Xenopus tropicalis: one gene and its partners. The protein of the gene in region 1 purifies or fractionates together with the protein of each later gene. This does not show direct contact. Links are inferred from orthologs where the notes say so. Each region holds a gene or a part of one and is shown on either strand. Other genes may lie near its edges.

What was found. Proteins that work in one complex are often made in the same cells at the same time.
Region 2: the proteins of hspa12a (region 1) and akap12 purify together in Homo sapiens (affinity purification with mass spectrometry; 3 studies listed by BioGRID and IntAct, with this or other methods). This does not show direct contact. The link is inferred for Xenopus tropicalis from reciprocal best matches to the Homo sapiens genes HSPA12A and AKAP12.
Region 3: the proteins of hspa12a (region 1) and epb41l3 purify together in Homo sapiens (affinity purification with mass spectrometry; 4 studies listed by BioGRID and IntAct, with this or other methods). This does not show direct contact. The link is inferred for Xenopus tropicalis from reciprocal best matches to the Homo sapiens genes HSPA12A and EPB41L3.

The regions. Positions count from the first base shown.
Region 1 is NC_030683.2:5,385,279-5,389,479, forward strand, and holds part of hspa12a (heat shock 70 kDa protein 12A), read left to right. Parts: intron 1-2,860; coding exon 2,861-3,011; intron 3,012-4,201. UniProt on the Homo sapiens protein: Adapter protein for SORL1, but not SORT1. Delays SORL1 internalization and affects SORL1 subcellular localization.
Region 2 is NC_030681.2:44,981,843-44,986,043, forward strand, and holds part of akap12 (A-kinase anchor protein 12), read left to right. Parts: coding exon 1-3,356; 3' UTR 3,357-3,364; intron 3,365-4,201. UniProt on the Homo sapiens protein: Anchoring protein that mediates the subcellular compartmentation of protein kinase A (PKA) and protein kinase C (PKC).
Region 3 is NC_030682.2:106,388,131-106,392,331, forward strand, and holds part of epb41l3 (band 4.1-like protein 3), read left to right. Parts: intron 1-880; coding exon 881-1,056; intron 1,057-2,875; coding exon 2,876-3,096; intron 3,097-4,201. UniProt on the Homo sapiens protein: Tumor suppressor that inhibits cell proliferation and promotes apoptosis. Modulates the activity of protein arginine N-methyltransferases, including PRMT3 and PRMT5.

The DNA of each region.
Region 1 (4,201 bases):
GGGAGGACGTCAGGCGGGGGCCCAACGGGGGGGGGGGGTTAGGGGGGCCCCTGGGGGGGGTTAGGGGACGCGGCTGGGGCACCTGCAGGGCCCCTGGGGCGGGAGCCCCGGTGGGCCCTGCACCCCCCAGTCCGACCCTGGCCACAGATGTGGGTAGGAGCGAGGGGATTGGCTGCCCATTACAAGGCATGAATATGTGCCAGGAAAGCACTTAGCAGTGATCACATTCCCTGGGACAGCAGTAACATTGATCTGCGCTGAATTACTGCCATTTTGTCCAGAGGAGCGTAATTGCCTCATCTCACGCCACGCGCCATATTCACAGTGCGGCCTCTGGGTATTTATCCTTCCTGGCATCCATGGTCTCACCCCATGCCAACGCTGCCTTCTCTTCTGATTGGCTCTTCTTATTCCAAGGTCACTGCCTGATATTAACGAGCCGGCTTTGCCTTTATCACTTATCTGCCTAATGAATATTTCCAGTTTCACAGTTTAACTGAATTTATAACTTTTAATATTTAAAGGCACCCAGAAATAAAAGTGACAAACACAGTAACTGTATAATATATAGGCACAGTGTAACCCCCATATCCTATACACACAGTAACTGTATAATATATAGGCACAGTGTAACCCCCATATCCTATACACACAGTAACTGTATAATATATAGGCACAGTGTAACCCCCATATCCTATACACACAGTAACTGTATAATATATAGGCACAGTGTAACCCCCATATCCTATACACACAGTAACTGTATAATATATAGGCACAGTGTAACCCCCATATCCTATACACACAGTAACTGTATAATATATAGGCACAGTGTAACCCCCATATCCTATACACACAGTAACTGTATAATATATAGGCACAGCGTAACCCCCATATCCTATACACACAGTAACTGTAATAATATATAGGCACAGCGTAACCCCCATATCCTATACACACAGTAACTGTATAATATATAGGCCACAGCGTAACCCCCATATCCTATACACACAGTAACTGTATAATATATAGGCACGGCGTAACCCCATATCCTATACACACAGTAACTGTATAATATATAGCACAGTGTAACCCCCATATCATATACACACAGTAAAACTGTATAATATATAGGCGGTAACCCCCATATCCTATACACACAGTAACTGTATAATATATAGCACAGTGTAACCCCCATATCCTATACACACAGTAACTGTATAATATATAGGCCGTAACCCCATATCCTATACACACAGTAAACTGTATATATATAGGCGGTAACCCCATACCCTATACCACAGACTGTATAATATATAGCACAGTGTAACCCCCATAGCCTATACACACAGTAACTGTATAATATATAGGCACAGTGTAACCCCCATATCCTATACACCACAGTAACTGTATAATATATAGGCACGGTGGTAACCCCCATATCCTATACACACAGTAACTGTATAATATATAGGCACAGTGTAACCCCCATATCCTATACACACAGTAACTGTATAATATATAGGCACAGTGTAACCCCCATATCCTATACACACAGTAACTGTATAATATATAGGCACAGTTAACCCCCATAATCCTATACACACAGTAACTGTATAATATATAGGCACGGCGTAACCCCCATATCCTATACACACAGTAACTGTATAATATATAGGCACAGCGTAACCCCCATATCCTATACACACAGTAACTGTATAATATATAGGCACGGTGTAACCCCCATATCCTATACACACAGTAACTGTATAATATATAGGCACGGTGTAACCCCCATATCCTATACACACAGTAACTGTATAATATATAGGCACGGTGTAACCCCCATTATCCTATACACACAGTAACTGTATAATATATAGGCACAGTGTAACCCCCATATCCTATACACACAGTAACTGTATAATATATAGGCACAGTGTAACCCCCATATCCTATACACACAGTAACTGTATAATATATAGGCACAGTGTAACCCCCATATCATATAGGGGGCAGGCAGTAACTGTATATAGGGTAGCTGCTGTATCTCTGGTCTGATTGCTGCTGTTGTGCAAAGCTGGGCGCTGCGGGGCTGCTGGAAGCAGGTAGAACCCCTGATTGCCTCCTTGTTCCTTATGGAACAGTTTCCCTTAAGGTGGCCATACACGGGCCGACTATAGCTGCCGATATCGGTCCCTTGGACAGATTCGGCAGCTAATCGGCCCGTGTATGGGGAGAGCAGAGCGGCCTGGCCGACCGAGATCTGGCCTGAAATTGGCCAGATCTCGATCGGCCAGGTTAGAAAATCTGGTCGGATCGGGGACCGCATCGGCTCGTTGACCTGGTCCCCGATCCGACTGCCCCATTGCCGCCCACATAATCCGATCGTTTGGCCCCAGGGCCAAACAATCGGATTATTTTTTTTTTAACCTAAATGCTCCCCGATATCACCCACCCGTAGGTGGGGATATCGGGGGAAGATCCGCTTGCTTGGCGACATCGCCAAGCGAGCGGATCTGCTCGTGTATGGCCACCTTTAGGCAGTGGTAGTACTTCAGTGGTGTAGTAGCTCCACCTACTGGTCATCACAAAAAATTGGTGTTACGTTTTTTTCATTTTATTAACATTTTATTATAATCATTTTATTATAATCATTATTATTGTTGTTTGTATTTATAGAGCCAAGATGTTCCTCATGTATAATACATGCTTATATACACTAAACATACAGATTACTTGCAAATATATACATTAGATAACAAATACAGGAGGTACATAAGACCCTGCCCAAAGAGTACAAATTAACTAGATATGTGGAACATCTCATAATAAAGTCCCTATCTCCCCCCTCCCATAGGCAGGCATGGCAACACCTGAGAACCCAGAGCAGCTGATTATTGCCCTAGAACCCGAGGGGGCCTCTATATACTGCAGGAAGCTCCGCCTCCACCAGATGATTGACTTGAGCAGCAAAGCGGCTATCAATGGAATCAGCCCGACAGATCCAGGTAAGCACAGATTGTTATGTAATGAGTAGTAATGTGCGGGATCTGGGCATTGTATGAAGGCTGGGGCCCTAGTCCATGTGGTTATTACTCCAAACAAAAAAAAAAGATAGTTTTTGGGGTGAGGTGGGGGGACATTAGCAGGAAAGTCTCAAGGACTTGAACTAGAAAAGTCAGACGACCACTGGATCATTTCTATAAATATACAAAATCATATATAAATCTCACAAAAAAGGAGTTTGTATTTTTAAAGAGAGACCTTATAGAAAAATTGAGAATCTCTGTGCCCCGAATATGCCCCAAAGCATCAGGGTCATTTAATATGCCCACCCATTCCCAGCATTCCTAGCAGATCACCCGAGGCTCAGTGCACATTTCCCAGAATCTGATGCCCATTCCTAGGGATCCAATGGAAATTCCCGAAGGTCTAAGGAACCTTTCACAGTATCCAGTGCAATTCCCCCAGAATTCACTCCAAAAATTCAAAACCCTTCATCTCAGATCCCCATTGGTCCATTTCTAATCTGATTCACATTCCTAGGGATCCAATAGAATTTCCCCAAGGTCCGAGGCACATTTTGGCAGTACCTAATGCATATCCCCAGAATTCAGTGCCAATTCGCTAGGATTTATAGCAGATCCCAGAATGTGATTCCCAAGCCCTGAGACACGGTTGGCAGCAGCCAATGCAAGTTTCCCAGGATTCCCTGTCTCTAAAGCCCTTAATTTAATAACAACATACAAATTCCCTAGGATTTAATGGAAACTTTTCCACATTTCAACAGCAATTCTCCGAGACTGAATGCCAATTTCCCAGCCGCCAGCCCCCTGAATCAGCCCCCGACACCTCCCATTTTCATTATTAAGATACAATTGGCGATGGCAAAAGCCGGCGCTTTTCAGTCCGAAAATGCATTTCATTGCATTATTTCTTTATTTCATACAAACTGAAGTTGCAGATCTCCAAGCCGCATCAGTTTATTTATGTATTTAACTTTTAATGGCTGGATCCTTGAACCTCCCTTAGTGATGTGTCTGAATGGGAAGGGGGACATTGTTGCCGTGGGGCTTGGCGGATCCGCAGCCTTGGGATGCATAAACCCTTTGTGCCATCAGTTTCTCAGCAGCGCCAGTGAATGGGATAAGTAGGCTGAGATAAACAGGGCTGCGCCGCAGGCACCCACATGATATTT
Region 2 (4,201 bases), on another chromosome or scaffold:
AAAGTTCACAAATTTTTGTAGCAACACAGGCAATAGAAAGTGTTTCTGTTTTGAAAGAGGAGTTGGCAACAGAAAGTGACCCTGTGGTGCCAGTGGAGCAGGCTAACAATATTGCCACAGCTGCCAAGGCTGCCATTAATGCTTCAAGTGAAGATGAAAAGCAAATTTCAGAATGTTCAACAGTTATGTTTGATGAACATACAGAGAAAGAACATGTTGCAGAAAGTCCCACACATGTTACTACAACACTTACCGCAGAAATTGCTTCTGTAGCTGAACAGGATGCTGTGAAGGAAGAACAATATGCAGAATACCCCCACAGTATGGCAGGTTTTAGTGATTCCCCGGTTTCAGAGAGTCCCCCCGCTCTGACTATAGAGCAGACCATGGAAGTCACCACTCCAGCTGAGGGACATGATAAAGCAAGCACAACTGATGATGAAGATAAGAAGGCTACAGAAAGTATTTCTGTCGTACCTGAAGAACAGGAAGTAGAAAGTCTAAACACTGATGTTGAAGAGCAGGATTTAGAAAGTGCCATTGCTGCAGGTCTAGAACAAGTTGCAGAAAGTGCCAGCACTGCAGGCGAGGAGCAGACTAAAGAATGTGCCCCCACTGTGGATGAGCTGCAGGTTGCAGAATGTGATACTATAAATGTTGAGGAATTAAGTGAAGAAAAGGCTTCTGCTGCATCTTTGGAGCACCATGCAGAAACTTCCTCTGTTGAAAAGTTGGTTGGTGAATGTCCAAGTACTGCCAAAGAGGTACAGGTTACAGAGAGTGCCACCCTAGTTACTGATGAGCAGCTTGCAGAAGTTGCCGCTGAGGAGCATGCTACAGAAAGTGCCGTGAATCTTGCTTTGGAGAAAACTGAAGAAAGTGCTACTACTTTGGCAAAGGAATCTGGGGAAAGTCTTCCTCTTGCATTTGAGGAGTGTGATGCAGTAAGTGCCCCCAGTTTGGCTGAGGATCAGGCTGAAGAAAGTGGCAGCACAATTGTTGAGGAACAAACTGAAAGTGTCTGTGTTGCTGAATTGGAACAGGCAGATGGAACTGCCATTTCTGATTCTGACGGACAGATTGCAGCTTCAGTAGATGAAAAGCACTCTGCAGAAAGTGTCTCTGCTGAAGCTGAGGAGGAGGCTACAGAAAGTGTCACCCTTTCTGCTGATGAACAAACTGCAGAAGGTATCACCCCTGCGACTGTAGAAGACACAGCAGAAAGTGCTATTTTTGCTGTTGAGGAGGAGACTGCAAAATGTGCAATCAGTGTGGCTAAGGAATCATATGAGAAAAGTACCTCTACTATAGCTGAGGAAAGTTCCACTGCTGTAGATAAAGAGCAAGCTGCAGAAAGTGTAACACCTGTTGCTGTGGAGCATATTGAAGAAATGATCCCTGCTGCTGCTACTGAAGAGCTGGTTGAAGAAAACTTTAGTGTTGAGGAACAGTCTGCAGAAGCTATTCCCTTGGTGACTAAAGAAATAGCTGAAGAAACTGCTTCTGCTGCATTTCAGGAGGAGGCCACTGATAGTGCTACCGTTGTTGATAATGGACTAGGTGCAGAAAATGCCATGAGTACTGCTGAAGGCTTGGCTACAGACACTGAGACACCTGCTACTGAGGAACAAGTTCCACAAGATGTTACCGCTGGTTCTGAGGAGCAAACTGACCAAAGTACCATCTCTTGTACAAAGGCGCTGACTGCAGAAAGTGTTACCAGTTTAACTGAGGAACCAGCTGCAGTATGCATGGCTGCTCCAGTTGAGGAGCAGGCTGTAGGAATTGTTACTGCTGTTGCTGATGAGCAGGCTGGAGAAAATGCCACTACTCCTACAGAGGAACAGGCAGTAGAAGTCACTGCCAATGTAACTAAGGAAAGTGCCCCTGCTGAAGTTGAAGTACAGGTAATAGAAAATGCCTCTGCTGAAGTTGAAGTACAGGTAATAGAAAGTGCCTCTGTTAACACTGAGGAGCAGTCTTCAGATATGGAACAGAGAGTGGAAAATTACTCAGAGGCTGCCCCTGAAAAAGATGCAACTGAGAAGGAAGTAATTATCCTAGATGAAGAAAACACTAACGCAAATAATAAAGCATTGACTTTTAGTGCTGATATGGATGCTCCATGTTCTGTAGATCTGAATGATGTTGTAGAACAGCAAGAGGACAATGTTGTTATGACTGTGGAAAAGACACCTGAAGAAATGGTTGATGGAAGAGATCTTGCATATCAAGTCCCCCAGACTGTTAATGAAACCATCCCTTCGGTTGCAGAGGAGCACAGTATGCAAAACATGTTGGTAAACATATCAGAGGAATTAACCCTAGACTCTGTTGTGTTGGCAGAGAGCCTTGAATCTACTGCTCTTCACGTGCCACAGGAGGAAGTCCCAGTGTGTGAACAAGAGACTGTGCCAGAACCAACAATCTATTCAATGCCTGTTGAACAACAATCAACCACTGTGACTGAGGATACTGTGATCACAAATATCCCAGAGTTTGAAAGTTCTGAGGCTATCAAAGCATGTGAGACAGTTAATACTGCAGCTGTACAAGAGCAGATTTTAGCAGAAACTGTTGTGCCTATTGAGATTTCAGCAGATACCACAGAAGCTTGTGAAACCGCAAAAGGTGCAGATGACCTTAGTGAGACGTCTGGGGCTCTACATACAGTGGTACAGTCTGTATCTCAGAAAGCAGCAGCTATTGTTGATGCCGCAATTGAAGCAGCTGCAAGCTGTTTGGTTGTAGAGGCTGCCACCACTACTTTAGAGCAAAATATAGCAGAAAATGGTGTTTCCATTCAAGAAGCTGTCTCGGTATGCACAGAAGAAAATGCTAGTGAGGACAACCTTGTTCAAACCATTACTATCAGCACTATCAGCACAGTACAGATTACTGAAACATCAGTGGAAAAAATTGAACAAATAACTGAGGATGTTCACATTGGGGATGAAGTTCAGGAATTTCAGCATGAAGAACACAAGCATAGTTTAGAGGTTGAAGAGATTGTACCTGTTTCTGCTCAGGGTACAGAAGTAGTAGTGACGGCTGAAGAGAGACAGGGTTTGCAGGAAACAGCAGCACCTGAATCTGAACCCACCACAGTAGCCAGTGCTACTGGGTTACATGATGGCTGTGCCTTGCAAGAAGAGCATAAAGAAACCACACCTGTACACACACATGAGGAATCTTTAAAACCTGCAGACAGTGAGTGTACAGAGCAAATGACTGTGCAGATTACACATACTGAAAGTGAATTAAGTATGTCCATCAGCAAACCTGTAGAAGAAATTGTCTCTCAGGACAGTGCTGAGTTGAACACACAAGCAGACTCACAGACTGTGGAATCCTGAGACAAAAGGTAAGGTATTACCCACTTCTTTCTCTTCTTTCATAATGGTTAATCAATGGTACAAATACCCCATTTTGTAAAAAAGTAAGGATATTCAAAGTGACCAAGTAATTTCACAAATAAATAAAGGTTATTATACAGGTCATAGAAATCGAGGTGACTTCTAATATCCTCATATTTCATGGAAGCTAGTACTTTATTAGTTATGATACGCACGTGTCAGTGGGTCATGCAATGCAACTTATGGAATTTAAGGGTTGTTGATATAGTAAATAATCTACCCCCTTCTGTAAAATATAAGGATATTATAATTCACAGAGGAGTTTAATGACTATTCAAAGGCACAACGGGCAAAAGGTGAGTGCTTTTATACAGGTCATGGAACTTCAACAAGTATGTCCTCATACAAGTTTCAGTGAGCCATGTGAGCAGAATGCTCAAATTACGGGAAGGCCACCTCCTATAGACTCTATTTTAATGAAATTCTAACATTTTAAGGATGATTTCCTTTTTCACCATGATAATAAATCAGCAGCTTGTATTTGATCCCAACCAAGATATAAGTAATCCTTATTAGAGGCAAAATAATCCTATAGGGTTTATATATATCAAAGGCTGAAATTATTGCTCCCCACAGTTCACCAGAGGGCCATTTTATAGTTTTTTATTTGTTTGTATGTGAATTGTAGTGGAATATTTATCAAGGAGGAAACAGAGAGAGAGTTCACTTTTAACATTTTGACAAACATGTTCCTAAAAATACTATGCAACCCCATTTTCACTTTTTATAAAAAATATTGCCCAGAGTTTGAGCAAAATATACCTTGCAGGTAGTGCATTTTGGTA
Region 3 (4,201 bases), on another chromosome or scaffold:
CCATGGAATGTTTAATGCTTCTAAATGAAAATGAGCATGTGCACATTCTTTGTAAATGTTATTCAATGTTTCATTAAATTCACAGTGCTCTAAAAAAGTTTTTACGTATTCTCGGCAAGTGTTTTTCGGCTTGCCGAGGATATGCTCATGTGGCATCAGCCTAAAGGTGAAAAAAATTGATGTCAAGCACCTGTGATTCTGTGGAACTGCAGGAAAATTAATACAAGCAGCAACCTGAGGGGAAGCTGCCGAGCACAGTGGGGCCTAAATCACAGAATAGTGTGCAAATCTGGTCCAGGAGGCTTAAAGGGGTTGTTCACCTTTACGTTAACTTCCAGTAATTTGCAATTGGTCTTCATTTATTATTATTTGTGCTTTTGTAATTATTTCACTTTTTATTTAGCAACTCTCCAGTTTGGAATTTCAGCAGTTATCTGCTGTTGTTAGGGAACAAATTACCTTAGGAGAGGACCTGAATAGAAAGATAAGGAATTAAAAGTAACAATAACAATAAAATTGTAGCTTCACTGAGCAATAGATTTTGAAAACTGGAAAGAGTCATAAGAACAAGGCAAATAATATAAAAAAAACTATACAAAATAAATAATGAAGCCCAATTAAAAAGTTGCACCAGCACAAGGACCTGCAGCCAGAGAGACTGATGGTGCTGAGGAAGGGTGCAACGTGTGAAAAACAAGGTGGTTTGCACCCTGCCTAGTACATAGCTCCAAACCAGTTATTATAAATATGTACCAAAACCACAACTGGTATGTATCCACAAATGGCTCAGCATTTATGCAGAAAATATAAGTAATTTGTGTTTACAGTGTACTATATAGTATATACTTTGGTTATGTGTAAGTAAATCTCTCCCTAACAGACTGCTGATGCCCGAGGCGCCTCCTAAGAAATTCCTCACGTTAGGTTCCAAGTTCCGCTACAGTGGGAGGACTCAGGCACAGACAAGAAGAGCGAGTGCACTCATTGACCGCCCCGCACCATATTTTGAACGCTCTTCTAGCAAGAGATATACCATGTCTAGAAGTTTAGATGGAGGTAAATATTTAAATATCTTTTATCTGTAACACTTAAATTCTAGGCTGTTTGCAGCGACAGCAGTGACAACCTAAAGTCATAAGTGGGAAGTAGTTGGGCTCTAAATAGACAGATAAGCAATAAAAAACAACAATGCCAAAGCCTCACAGTCATTCTGCTTGTGGATTCTCTAGCAGCTCACTGGCACATACAAGAGCCAATGTGCAGTGCAGCAATAGTGTAAATCATGGATGAAAGATAGACAGTGTTCTCTAGCATTTAATTCATTTTCTGTGTATTCCTCTAACACTACCTGGTCTGTTGCTGTGTCAGGATAATACCATTTCCATATAGTTATTTTACAGGACAAAGCAAAGCAGCAAACTGCTAGAAACTGTCTCGGTTTATTTCCTAGTGAGGGTAATTGTCAGGACCAGGAAAATAAGGACTTAAGGGAAGATGGGCATTGAGGGTTGTGGATGAGGCAGAGCCCAATAGCATAGTATGAAAAGGATCCCATTCTGCAGATATGTTTTTGACGAGTGAGTGTAATATATTGGCTATATTGGTTGCACTGCAGTGAAAACACTGGGATACATATAAACATATATAGTTAATAGTCTAATGTGGGTAGTGAATAGGACTATAATGGGATAGAAACAGTCTAGAAGTAACACCTTTCTTTTCAAACTTGATGCTAGTTATTGTTGGCATGCTTTAATTTGGGTAGAACGGGCATAAGATGTGGTTGCTTAGCAACCCAGACTTTTATTTTGCCTGTGCAAAATGCCCTTGTGTGCTCTCTTTCTGCTTTGTTACTTCCAGCGATGCCATCATTGGATTTTCAGCAGCAGCCTTTGCAGTAATTAACACCATAACTACATTTTTTTTTCTCTTTCATAACTTTCTGTCTGTCAGGTCATGGAGAATAAATAAACCTAACACCTGTATTATAAGGAATCCATTAGTGACTAATAATCTTGTGTTTTGTCAGCTATGCTTGCATCACATTTGTAATACCCGGTGGTGTAAGTCATTATTTGTGGTTTATTGAAATGTTCTGCACCTTCTTTCAGTACCTTTCTACTAACAGTGCACAAAAGTAAACATGGACAAAAAAATGGATATTAATTGGAAAGTGCATTCCTTTCGGTAAACAGAAATGCATTTGTGCATAGCCCCTTGTGTGTACAGAATGTTCTTTTCTGTGTAATTGCTTTCCTACACTGTATACTCACCTATGCCGAGACATAGAGCCCTGTGTGCTGATAGCACCATCTCTCTACAGTAACTATGCTTGCTGCTGTTGAGACACATTGTGAATTAAAGTAGCATCTAAATATTAAAATACTTATTTTATCATTATGGCCCAATGCTCTTTTCAACCCGAGGCCCCTATAACTATATAGAAGTATTTGGATTCTACGCATGAATGGCCTGCCTTCTGCAAAATGTAACTGAAATAACTGTGCATAAAAATAGGATCATTTGATCCTGCAGATATTTGAAATGTTGCTGGTTTGCTAATAAGGTTTCATATATAAAATGCACCAACTGCATGACTGTAGCACTGCTCTCTTCTGGCTATGCCCAAGCGCCCCAATATTCCTTTGCAATGCTCACGTGTATTGTGTATCACCAGGAGATCCAATTGTGCAATTGCCTAGATGTGTGTGTAATGTCCATGATGGCCAACTCATAAACACTGCTATAGATTTCCAGTTTAATTTTCTTTCTATATCAAAATTTGGCATTTTTATTCTAGCCCCCTTTTGCGATTTCTTTTAATCAAACCATTCCATACTCAGTTTTTGTTTTCAAATATCATATTTGCTTTTAGCATCAGTGAATGAAAACCATGACTTGTACATGAAGGATTCTGTGTCTGCCACAGAGGTGGGTACCGGCCCCTACATCACAGCTAAAGGTATCTCTCAAACCAACTTGATAACTACAGTAACACCCGAAAAAAAGGCAGAAGAAGAGAGGGATGAGGAGGAAGAGAAGAAGAAGAAAGTAGAGATCATCACAACAGTTACTACAATTCGACATGACACAAAGGTACAGATTATGTTCCTTTATCTTTTCAGCAAATGTATTTAAGATTAGAGGTTACATGCTATATAAAATATGTTCCATAATAAAGTGTGCAGCAATGAAGGGACAGCCCTTTAAGTGCAATAGGTGGGGGGAATAAATAACACATAAATATTAAATATACTGCTGCAGTGTTTTTCCTATTCTAATGTACTCATTGGACAAAGTGCAAAGAATCCATGACCTGTACAGTTTTAGTGACTTGTTGAAGGCCATAAGAGGTTTTCAAACTGTTCTTGCTGAAGAGCCTTTTTGATGCTGACAATTTTATAAGGCCCACTTTTGGTTTTAGAAAGAAACAATAACAGAAGGGAAAAGGGGACTCAGAGGAGGAAAGGTTTATATTGTCATGTATGACATGTATCAGACCTGTGAAGTATCTCACATTTAATGCAACACATATTTTGACATGCCCTACCATTCTCATGCAGTTTTCTATTCTTTAAATGTTGTTTTACTCCTTTACTTCTTCCCACTTGTTCTTCCACTTCTGCTCTCCACTCATTATTCCTCTCTTTCCTAACATTCACTATCTAGTTTCTCTTTCTTTGCATGTTATCCCACATTGCCTTTAATTGTGTCAACATTTTCTGGTCTCAATCTGTTTGTTCCCATTCTGTTGTCTTTCTTCCTGTTAATTATCTTTGTCCTCTCCTATTTCACCTTTTTTATTTTCATTAGTGATTTTCCCTTCCTTACAGTTATACTTCACACTTCCACTTTCTTGATGCTCTACTAAACCCATCCTGTTTCCCCTTATATCCCTGTCCTCCACCCTGTCTTCTTGGTCTGTTTTGCTCACCTCCTTTTCTATTTCTTCCCCAACCTGACAACAAGTGACACTTAACCTCTGAAAACCTCACATGGTACTGCAGCAGTTCCTGAGCTCTCTTGAGCTTAGCAGCACGCTGATGCAGTTCGTATGAATTTGACCCATACGACCTATGTGATGTGCCTGGGGCCATGGCTCTTGCTATGTCTTATTTGGAGCACTCTGTATTCAGCAGCAATAACACTCAAGGACTCAAGGGTATTTAATTTACAGTGCAAAAGTTCAATCTTCCCCAGA